Linked DNA regions of Caenorhabditis elegans. The protein of the gene in region 1 interacts with the protein of each later gene in a pairwise test. Each region holds a gene or a part of one and is shown on either strand. Other genes may lie near its edges.

Evidence for each region.
Region 2: the proteins of unc-115 (region 1) and rack-1 interact in a two-hybrid assay, tested with the Caenorhabditis elegans proteins (one study listed by BioGRID).

What each region holds. Positions count from the first base shown.
Region 1 is NC_003284.9:10,145,744-10,152,851, reverse strand, and holds unc-115 (Actin-binding lim zn-finger protein limatin involved in axon guidance), read right to left. Parts: upstream 5,361-7,108; coding exon 5,222-5,360; intron 4,204-5,221; exon of another isoform or gene 4,131-4,203; intron 3,972-4,130; coding exon 3,723-3,971; intron 3,654-3,722; coding exon 3,433-3,653; intron 3,103-3,432; coding exon 2,959-3,102; intron 2,819-2,958; coding exon 2,590-2,818; intron 2,545-2,589; coding exon 2,435-2,544; intron 2,373-2,434; exon of another isoform or gene 2,272-2,372; intron 2,134-2,271; coding exon 1,892-2,133; intron 1,841-1,891; coding exon 1,743-1,840; intron 1,621-1,742; coding exon 1,414-1,620; intron 1,069-1,413; coding exon 915-1,068; intron 863-914; coding exon 736-862; downstream 1-735.
Region 2 is NC_003282.8:10,174,853-10,178,423, forward strand, and holds rack-1 (Small ribosomal subunit protein RACK1), read left to right. Parts: upstream 1-1,827; 5' UTR 1,828-1,857; coding exon 1,858-1,972; intron 1,973-2,020; coding exon 2,021-2,204; intron 2,205-2,247; coding exon 2,248-2,395; intron 2,396-2,447; coding exon 2,448-2,978; 3' UTR 2,979-3,023; downstream 3,024-3,571. Other genes in the region: mspn-1 (Mitochondrial sorting homolog), read left to right, coding at 3,118-3,252, 3,296-3,416, 3,462-3,571.

The DNA.
Region 1 (7,108 bases):
AAATGATAAACCCATGTTAGCTAGCTACTGTAGGTTTTATTCATTTTGATTACAGCTTTTTTACTGGCGGTATACACTTTGATTTTAAAATAAAAATGAGCATTTTTTGTTTAAAAAAGCTATGAATAATCTAAGCAATTTAAAAAAAGCTTATTAATGTGAGGGGAATTTAGAATAATATAAAAATGTAATGACAATTAAACGTTGAACACCAATTCATATAGAAGAAAGCACGCATGCAAAATGCAATCTTTTGTGAGAAAAACTGTAAGAAGAGAAAAAAACCGAGATTCCGCGTAGAAGACAAATTAAAGTTACTTTTAAAGTTGATTAAGAAATTACAAATTTTGAATGAAAAACACTAGTTGAAAGCGGCAATAAAAGCTGACAAGCTATATCCCGAAAGATATTTTTGAGAAGTTTGGGTCAATATTTTGGCATAAAAATCAGAAAACATAACAGAGTAGTAAAGTGCCTCAGAATCAATACATAAAGAGAAAGTAGGAAGAAATGAATGCAAATTTTCCGAAAACACGAATGCACTGACTGCCGAAATTATGCGCAGAACAGGAGCAACTTTGGGATGAGAATAGATTGGACCAAAAAAAAGAGTATTTGAAAAAGTTACGCGTGGAGAAAAGAAAACAAATTCGACCTAACGTTTTGTTTAAGACACAGGCAACAAGATGATTTGGTGAGGGTGAGGGAAAGACGACGACAGCTAAAACGAGGATGTTAGAATAGTTTGTGTTTTCGCTTCAAATTGATCCTCTTCCATTCGGGCAGCTTATAAAATTCAATTAAGGACATCTTGAAGATCTCCTCAAATTGATCTCGCGGCAAGTGTCGTTCCAAATGTTGTCTACAAAAAAGGAAATGTCAGTTGAATGCTAACTTATTTTTTCATTACTCACCTGTCAACATCTTCTGGGAGGTCCGAATTTGTCGTTTGGAGAAACAGCAGGTCGTACTGCTTGGCAGGTTTGCTCATGTCAGGAAGAGAAGAGCGAAGCACAGCTCCACCAGCTGAGCGAGGTCCTCCAGCTGTTCCAGATTCCGTCGTCGAGTCTGAAAAAATTAAAGCAATTATTGTGACAACTACGGCAGTTTAAAAGTTCTTGAAATACTGTTTAAAGAAGTCTAAACGTTATTCTCTTAATTTGAGAAAAATTAATAACAGAGTAAGAATTTTGAATTTTTACGATACATTATCAAGGTTATCTGATTTCAATATTTTAATAATTCATGTTTGAGTGACCAACAAACAGTGTTTTTTAGATCAAAAATCGTTCCTTTTTCAAATATTGCAAAAATGTTTTGCAAGAGAGTCCATTTTTCATTTTACTGTTTTAAAACTATTTTCTTCACTTCCAACTTCTGTTTTCCAAATTTTCCCATGAAACTTTCACATACGTTCAGAATAGTGGCTGCTAATTGTGGTGTCCAAGTTCTCAAGCGACAAGTTTTGTCCGAATTCCGTCGGAAGTGTGGCGGCTCTGAGTGTATTCGCCCGGCTATCCTCTGGAATGTGGAAGCACGGCAGTGTATTGTTTCCCTGGTCTCTCTCGCCTCCTTGCCAAACAACCCATGGACGCGGACGATTGAGATGACGAGATGGCGCTGAAAAAATGAAAAAGGGCAATGAGTTTGCACTTGAGAAGAAGAAAAGGCGCACGAAAGGAGTATGTGTTGTGCTCTATAGCCAGCTACTGATTCAATTAGGAAAGCGCACAAAAACATACAAGCATTGATTGGGACGTCGTAACGGAATTTGAGATGTGGCATTTTCTTGCCAGATGGGGTTCTGCTTGCGTTTCTTGGATCCCAATGAAGTGGCAGCCTGCAACGTAATTAGTAATTATATGATAAAATATGCAATAAAATATAATACCTTTGCTTCTTATGACTGTCTTCGATGTTTTGCCTGATGACGTGAGCAATGGAAGAATCATTATACTTCTCCAAAGTTTCAACAGTCTTTCTCAACTTGTCCTCGTCAACCTTGTCGCTCTCCGAGTATTCATCGTCGGAAATCTCATTTTCAACCGATGATGTTGAGAGTCTTCTTTTGAGTTCTTCGACGGCATACGGGAATTGTGGAGCAGGGAAATCCTCTCGCTCGATAGCAGGAAGCTGAAAATATATTTCCTGCGTAATTAAAGTTTTGAAATTGAGTTTTGTTTCAACGGGAATATGTATTTTTCCCACATTTAAACATTTCTTCTTAAGTTTAAACATTTTTTTTTAATTTTTATTCTGCACAGTCTGAAAAAAGGATGCTTAATACTTTGATTTGGCGTCTACAATTTAGTGATTATAATTGAAATTCACAAACATTTACTTAGCTCTTGAATGACTAAAAAACGGTAAGTTTATATTGTTTAGTTTCAAATATCTTTCAAGTTTTAACGTATTTTTGTTTTGCAGTACATACCGTGTCTGGATCGGGCACATGTGCAGCTGGATAGTGAGCTAATTCAATTGGCTCCTCATTGTCCATGTGTGGAGATTTTGGACGTGGGATGTTCTTTTCCAAATCCTCCGCTGAAAATAAAATATTTTGTCTAATAAACGGGTATGTGGACTCACTAAGTCTTTGCATTCCAGTTTTGAGCATCGACATCCTTGACTTGCGAATCTTGATTGGTCCTTGTGGAACGTGGTATTGTGGAGCATTTGGCTCCTTGGCGTTCATCACTGGATGTCTCAAGTAGGTTTGTTCCACCTCTGGCAACAAGTACATGTATGCTTGATGCTGTCCAAACGTTGATTGATATTTTGGCTCATTTCGAGACAATGTGGCAGCACGTCCAGTTGGCTAAAAATTGATTTTTTTTAAAGTATAATGTAATTAAGAATTTATTCGAATGCTTTGAGAAAGCATCATCATCATCTTGACTTTCAATGTGATGAAATCGGATACTTTGGAAAAACAAAATGAAAAATGAAATTGCATACCGCGATATTTTCGGTGGTCCGCGCGTGCTCACAGGATGGATGCCAGATCTCGTCTCCTTGCATATACATCTCTTCACCGTCACCAAAATGAGATCCACATCGTGAACAGCGGGCACAAGTTGGATGGAATTTGTAGCCGCCAGCCTAAATAAAAGAAATTGACTGAATAGAATATTTTGGGAAGGTCAAAAGAAGAATAGACAACTTGTTTTGATCTTGGTGTTTTTTTTAACAAAAAAACTTTTCTCAACGTTTTGCAGGGGTACAACTTAACCTTGATTGCAAAAGTAACAAAAGTTTGGAACAGGAAGATCCAAAAGGTTTTTATAAATAGATTGATTAAAATACTTTCTTTTTTTCTGAAAATATATGTTGTTATGGTTTTTCGTAGACAATGTAGTGCTAAATTGTTTTGTTCACAAATCAACTTTGTTCGGTTTTACTTTTATTTTTTGTTATCAACCAAATACCCACCTGTAAGACTTTTCCAGCAATGAACTTTTCACACTCGTAACATTTGACACCGAATTTCTCGTTATAATCTCGAAGGCACAATGGTTTTCCGTGATGTGACATGTACTCTCCATGGAGAACTGCTGAGCACTCGCTGCATTTGAAACAGTACACGTGCCATGAAAGACCGAGAGCGAGAAGTACTTGACCCGAATGTAAAGCTTGGTCACAGGCGGCACACGCTGCAATATTAAGTGTTATACATAAGAAAGTTTCAAATTTCACTGCCACTCCGACAGCTCATTGCTTACTTGTTGGTGATCCGAGCGGAGAGATTTGCTGCAGCGTGGCATTAGCGGCTCCACTCGACGACACGTCCGTTGTACCATTTGATTTCTCCGGAGATTTGGGCGTCGCCGCACTTGAGGAAGACGCGTGTGCTTGTTGCGTCGTCGTCTTCACTGTTATCTCTTTGGATACGGCGCGAAAGTCGTCGGGACACAGATACGCATTTTCTGGTGTTGTGTAGAAGCCCGTCTCGCCTAGATTCCGACCACATTCTGAAAATAATAGATTTTAATAAACCTCGAAAAAAAGTTTTCAAAATGCCACAGAGGCGAACCGTAACGTCACCGTCACCCCTTTCAATTCACACTCATTAATTCACAATACCGCCTGACATCTGCTTGTCTTACGAAGTGGACACATTAGAGCCATCTGGCCGCGTGGCGCAATGGATAACGCGTCTGCCTACGGAGCAGAAGATTGTAGGTTCGAATCCTGCCGTGGTCGAAACTTTTATTTAACGAGCATTTATTCCAGAACGGTATATTTTATACATTCAAAATTGTTCACGTGTGATCGACTATTCCAAATCATAATAATTATTTCTTCATATTCTCAATCACCCGAAATAATTCTTCATTTTTGTTACACCTCATAGAGTTCAAGTTGAGTGTGCCATGAAACAAAATTTGTCTTTTAGCGCCCGGTAAATATTTACGCAACGACGAATCGATTTTAGGTAAACAGTGCGATAATAGTGTGTTTGCCATTTTGCAGGTGGAATTCGAACAGAACTTGAAACAAAAACCAATAAAGTCAGGTTAGATTTCAAATGTCAAAAACGTTTCGCTTCAAAATTTTCATTTTCACACTCCATCGAACAGGCACCATTTTCCAAAAATGGTGACGCAGAAATTCTTGTGTCATAGAGTTGCACATTTCAACTAATCCTTCTTAACAATCTATGATGGATGAACAATGGAGAAGCCTAACTTTCGAGGATTACAAGATTCTCTGCAAAGGCGGTGGTTCTCAGAAAACACACTTTTGTAAATGGGGTCATAAAAAGAAGACCAGTGTCCCCCGAAACAAAAGTGGCCAAGAAAAATATGTGTGTAATTGAATTGAAAGCGAAAATCGCAATTTAATTTTGTTTGTTTCTTGATTGGTAAATCTAACCTAAGAAACACTAAACAGCATAAACAGTAGGTTCCTTAATTTTTTCAAAGGTTGAACTTTTTTGGTTATTAGGTTTTGTGACAATGTTTCTTAGATTTTTATCAATGTTTAGCTTGGAACGTTCTTTTTCGTGTAAGTAGTAATGGATGCTATGCCCTGTTCAAACAGAAGTGAGATAACAACGAGAGTCTCGTGCTGTATTATGTAATAAACACACTGAAACATTTTCCCGTCTCTTCCACAAGAAAAAGCAAACATTTCGAAATGTCGGCACTTCATGGAAATTGAAAACATAACTTTGGATATCTAATCTTTATCATGGAAAAATTGTTTTGATTGAACTCACTTTTGCACTGAAAGCAGTTGATGTGAAAGTATTTGTCATTCGCTTTTAAGACGTCTCCTGAGCACTTTTTGCGACATACGTCGCATTTTTTGCCTAAAATCAAATGGTTTACTGATAATACAGGTCTGCTGAATTTCATTCTCCGCTTGTTTATTTTTTTCTCAAATATCTCAATGAAGATCTACCATCAAATCAATCAAGAAGACTGTCAATCTTCAATTTCCCTTTTTGATTTATTTGTTGCGGGAAGCATTGAAAAATTTGTTGCAAAATAGCTAGAACTTGGTAGCGAAAAAAGGAATAAAAAGAGGGCGACATTGCCCTCTCTTTTGTTGCAGTTTGTTTCTTTGTCTCATTGTAACTCTTTCTGAGTCATCGGTACCAAACTGAAAATCAACTATTATGAAATTTTTCCAGAAACCTCTTATTTTGACAAACAAGCAGAACGGAAGAAATAACAATATAGTCAAAGTATGGACATGGTGCAGGTCGATTTTGCTGCCCAGAAATTACTTCCGGTATATTAGCATGAAGCTAATATCTCAATCTAATACATCTAGAAACAAACATTGAAGCCCAATCATATTTATGTTTATCACATTTCGAATCGTTAACACTACAAAAAACCAAAACGAACCCATGGCAAAGTGGAGACGACGCGCAGTGCTTGCGAATAGTGGTGGTATAGAATAGCGGAGAGAGGTCTAAAGTAGAGCTGTCCGCCGCCTACCCCGGCACTACTGCATGAGGCGAGAGGGGGACGAGAGGAGCAGGGCGAGAGACGCAGACACATCCACACATACAACACTCGTCGCCGCCGCCATTCGTCAGAAGAGACATAGGGGCCCCCGGCAGCAGCGATCAATAAATGGCCCAGCTGCGCGCAACGCTCCCTCTCTCTTTCTCTCTTCTACTCCCAATTCACAATAAATGCATTCCGGCCTTCACTCTTCTTCCTCTCTGAACCACCACCACTACCACCAATGCCAAGGGAAAGCATTGGACGGAGGAAAAGGAAATGCGAAGAAGGAGGAAACCCGGGAAGAAGAGGACAAGAGAGGACATCACTTTTTGCGGGACCCCAATGTCTTCCAATTTAGATAGGATTGATGAGAAGAGTTTATTTTGAGTGGGTAAGAAAACATTTCTTTAGTGGGCATTGGTTTCGAGGAACTAGGAAGCACACCATGAATAATTTCAAGCATGTGAACGTCCAAAAGTTGCTGTCAAAAGTGGGACTGTTTTCACAGTGTAACTAATTTACAGTTTTATTGATGGAAAAATTACAAATACAGTTTTCGAATGTTTGCAATGTACTATAATCTCTTCTATAAAAACGTATTTTATTTTGAATGAGTTTATATAGAATGTTAGTTTAGTACACGCCACGCTTCAAGCATGTCCTGAACTAAATGTTTTATTCAGAAACTGAAGTTAATTCTTCAACTTCCAACGTTAAAAAAAACCAACCTTTATACTGAAAACTGACACGTTCGACGATGTATTGCAAAAGTAGAAATGAGACAATATTTCAGTCGTGCCTGCCTCCGGCGAGCATCTGGCCAAAAACAGACGGCCGAGTTGTAGAGATGTCACACTCTTAGCTAATCAACCGGTCCCGAGATGGCGAGCCAAAAAAAAACACTTAGAAATCTGAATACAACTTTCTGAAATGATGTTTTTTCTGTTCTGAAGATATGTTTTCCACATCATTGTTCTCGAAGTGAAGAGGGCATGTAAATGTTTAGATATGCTTCACTACATGCACTTCTCACGGTTCCAATTTGTGTACAAACGCGGAAAGATGAGAATGCGACAGATAATGTATAATGAAACGGGAAACATTTCACTCGAAAGTGACCTGTTTGTTGTTCCGCACTGTTCCGT
Region 2 (3,571 bases), on another chromosome or scaffold:
ATTGTTAAAATGGGAGTCACATATAAAAGAAAAACTAGGACATTTGTAGTGAAAATGTACAGCTAGAAGGCATAACTTCTGCCACTCCCGTTCTTAATCAAAAATTAGCCTCGATTAGTGTCTTTATGAAAGTTTCGATTGTTCTGATCATCTACAACTGAAAAAAGGGTCCCATCCAGTCAGTTACCACCAATTGAATTACAAAGTGATAATGATGTCGTCGTGTGCCGATAACAACGTCTAATCTCTATTACTATCAGAGGTTGATTATAAACAATCAGGGGCACTAGACACAGGAAAGAAAAGGATGCAAAAGTTGTGAAGAAGGGAATCAAAGTCTGAGGGGGGGGGGGGCGATTAAACGGGCGGATAGTGAATGCGGCGGCCGCACACACACATAGGGACGGGCATTTGGAGGAATGTGACTAGGAACAACACAGAGGCGAAGAGGACAAGAAATAAATCGGACAGTCTGTGTAGAGGCAAGAAATTGGAGGAGGAAAAGGCGAGGGACGGTGCGGAAAAGCACCGCCAAACCACTGCGAACCGATCAATAATACAACGGAAGGTGCTGCGAAGAAATAAGAGAGGAACGGAAAGTTGAGACGCAGGTTGATTGGGTTAAAGATTGCACTGATTGCAGAGAAGACAGAGAATCGAGTGAAGATTGGCTCAGGAAAGAGTTGATTGTTGACATTCCCATTGGAAAAAAACAGATATCGAAAAAATGTCTAGGAGCAAAAAAATATTTTTCATTATGGGAATTGTTGTGATGTTATTGCTATTGCAAGGTTCTGTTGTTGTATTGAAAGTCAGCTAAAAAATGGGGAATTATTGAAAATATATTGTATTCAAAAATTCTTCAAAATAAAAATGACTTTTTTGAATGAAAAAAAAACTTTAAAATAGTGATGTTGGCATATCAACGTAAAATTTAAGATGAGAAGGTATTAAACATTATAAGGAAACAACTCGAAGATTTTCAAGCACATACCAAAGTTTTCACGGACAATTGGCCAATTTCTACAAGAAGTCAACATTTTTGTCGCTTCGTCAATTTGAAACCCATAAAAGCATGACTAAGCTGACAGGAATTCCACGAAAAAGCAATAGATATGCGCAAAGAACTAGTCTCGTCAGATTTTTCTGGCAATATCTCATGCAGTAATCTTAATATGTCTTGCACACATGCAACCCCGGATGCTGAAATGTTAAACTTTAAAATTCGAGCTCGACACGATGAATTTGAATGGATGGAGAATAATTAGAACTAAACCCACATTACATTGATTTTAATGTAAAAACTAAAGTATTTTTGCTTTTAAATGAGAAAATAATAATTTTTCGAAGAAATCAAACCAGTTTTCAGAAATATTAATTTTAAGGCTCAAATAAATGGCTCGCTAAACTCGAAAACAACTGTCACAATAAAAGCTAAACATAAATAATTGAATAAATAAATAAGTAAATTTAAAAAAGTGTCAAAAACTGCTTCATAGATGCAAATTTACAAGAAAAAGTTAATTTGTTCCGTAAATTCGTTAGTTGGCAAAGTGCCAGGTTAAAGGCGCATAGACTTTCGCTGTGGGGTCTCGCAGCGACTCACCCCTTCTCCTCTGCTGCTGGCTGGCTAGTTTGACGCGAATTTTTAGGACGATTTTTCCTTTTTTCTGTATTTTTCTGTTAAAGCAATGATTTTTTCAACATTTTCAACATTTAATAATTAAAGTGGCTATGTTTTTAACATAATTCGAACAAAATTATGGTTTTCGTTCGCTCTATTCTCCAAAATTTTCATTTTTTTATATGGAACATTTTTATTTTTAGCAGATCGAACGGGGTTACACAGATAGCAAAATGGTCCAAGAGCAAATGAAGCTTACCGGAACCCTCGAGGGTCACACCGGATGGGTTACCCAAATCGCCACCTACACCCGCAACGACAAGACCACTGTCCTGTCATCTTCCCGCGGTAAGTCAATTAATATAACGTTTTCAAATTTATACTCACATTTTTCAGACAAGACTATCCTTGTTTGGGATGTCGACAGCGTTGCTCCAGTCGATGAGGGACCAATCGGTCGCCCAGTTCGTTCGCTCACTGGACATAACCACTTCGTCTCTGACGTTGTCATCTCCTCCGACGGACAATTCGCTCTTTCTGGATCCTGGGACAAGACCCTCCGCCTCTGGGACCTCAACCAGTAAGTAATTCAATAAAAAAACATTGTGCAAACAATTTTATAGGGGAGTGAGCACCCGTCAATTCATCTCCCACACCAAGGATGTTCTCTCTGTTGCCTTCTCTGCTGACAACAGACAAATCGTCTCTGGATCCCGCGACAAGTCCATCAAGCTGTGGAACACTCTTGCCCAGTGCAAGTACACCATCACTGTACGTTTTTTCAAATTCTTTTATAGGAAGATTTATCGAAACTATTGTTTAGGATGATTGCCACACCGATTGGGTTTCCACCGTTCGTTTCTCTCCATCGAACCGCGATCCAGTGATCGTCTCCGCAGGATGGGACAAGGTTGTCAAGGTCTGGAACCTCGGAAACTGCCGTCTGAAGACCAACCACATCGGTCACACCGGATACGTCAACACCGTTACCGTCTCTCCAGATGGTTCCCTCTGTGCTTCCGGAGGCAAAGACGGACAAGCTATGCTTTGGGACCTCAACGAGGGCAAGCACTTGTACACCCTTCCAGGAAACGACGTCATCAACGCCATGTCCTTCTCTCCAAACAGATACTGGCTCTGCGCCGCTGTCGGATCTTCCATCAAGATCTGGGATCTCGAGGACAAGAAGGAGATCGAGGAGCTCAAGCCAGAAATCGCCAGCTCTGGAAGCTCAAGAGGATCCAGCCCACAGTGTATCTCTTTGGCCTGGTCTCAAGACGGACAAACCCTCTTCGCCGGATACACCGATAACATCATCCGAGTGTACCAGGTGTCGATCCGTGCTTCCAACTAATTTGTTACCTGTTAATTCAAAACCCTTCAATAAAATTGTTGATATAATTTTGTATTCAACCATGTCAGATAAATTATTCGCGTTAATCAAGAATATCTAGCAGATGATAAAACAGCAAGGTATACTTGTTATGTTAGAGATGACGGATCGTAATGAGTTGATCGGTGTTGCAATTCGAGTAGTGGCGGCGGCTGCAGTTTCATTTCTATCAGTGCGCTATCTAGTCAAGTACTTGGATCCAAATTATAGTGTGAATGAAGAAAGCAAAAAGAAGGTTTGTAGATTTACAACACTAATTTTGTTTTTTTAATATACAGGTGGCACAGCTGTTTCATGAACTTGGTATCGATCGTCAAATAGAACTCTCAGAGCACGAAATTAGAATCGCCACGCAGTTTGTTGGCGGAGAAGACGTTGGAGCAGATTGGGATGAGATCGGTAGAACAGAAAATTGTTTCGCAAAAAAAAAGAAAAATTTTACAGGTGGCTGCGAAGAACTTGTTGCTGAACTAAAGGATCGCATTATTTTACCCTTGAGATTCGCATCGCAAAGTGGAAGTCATTTATTGTCTCCTCCACGTGGAATTCTTCTT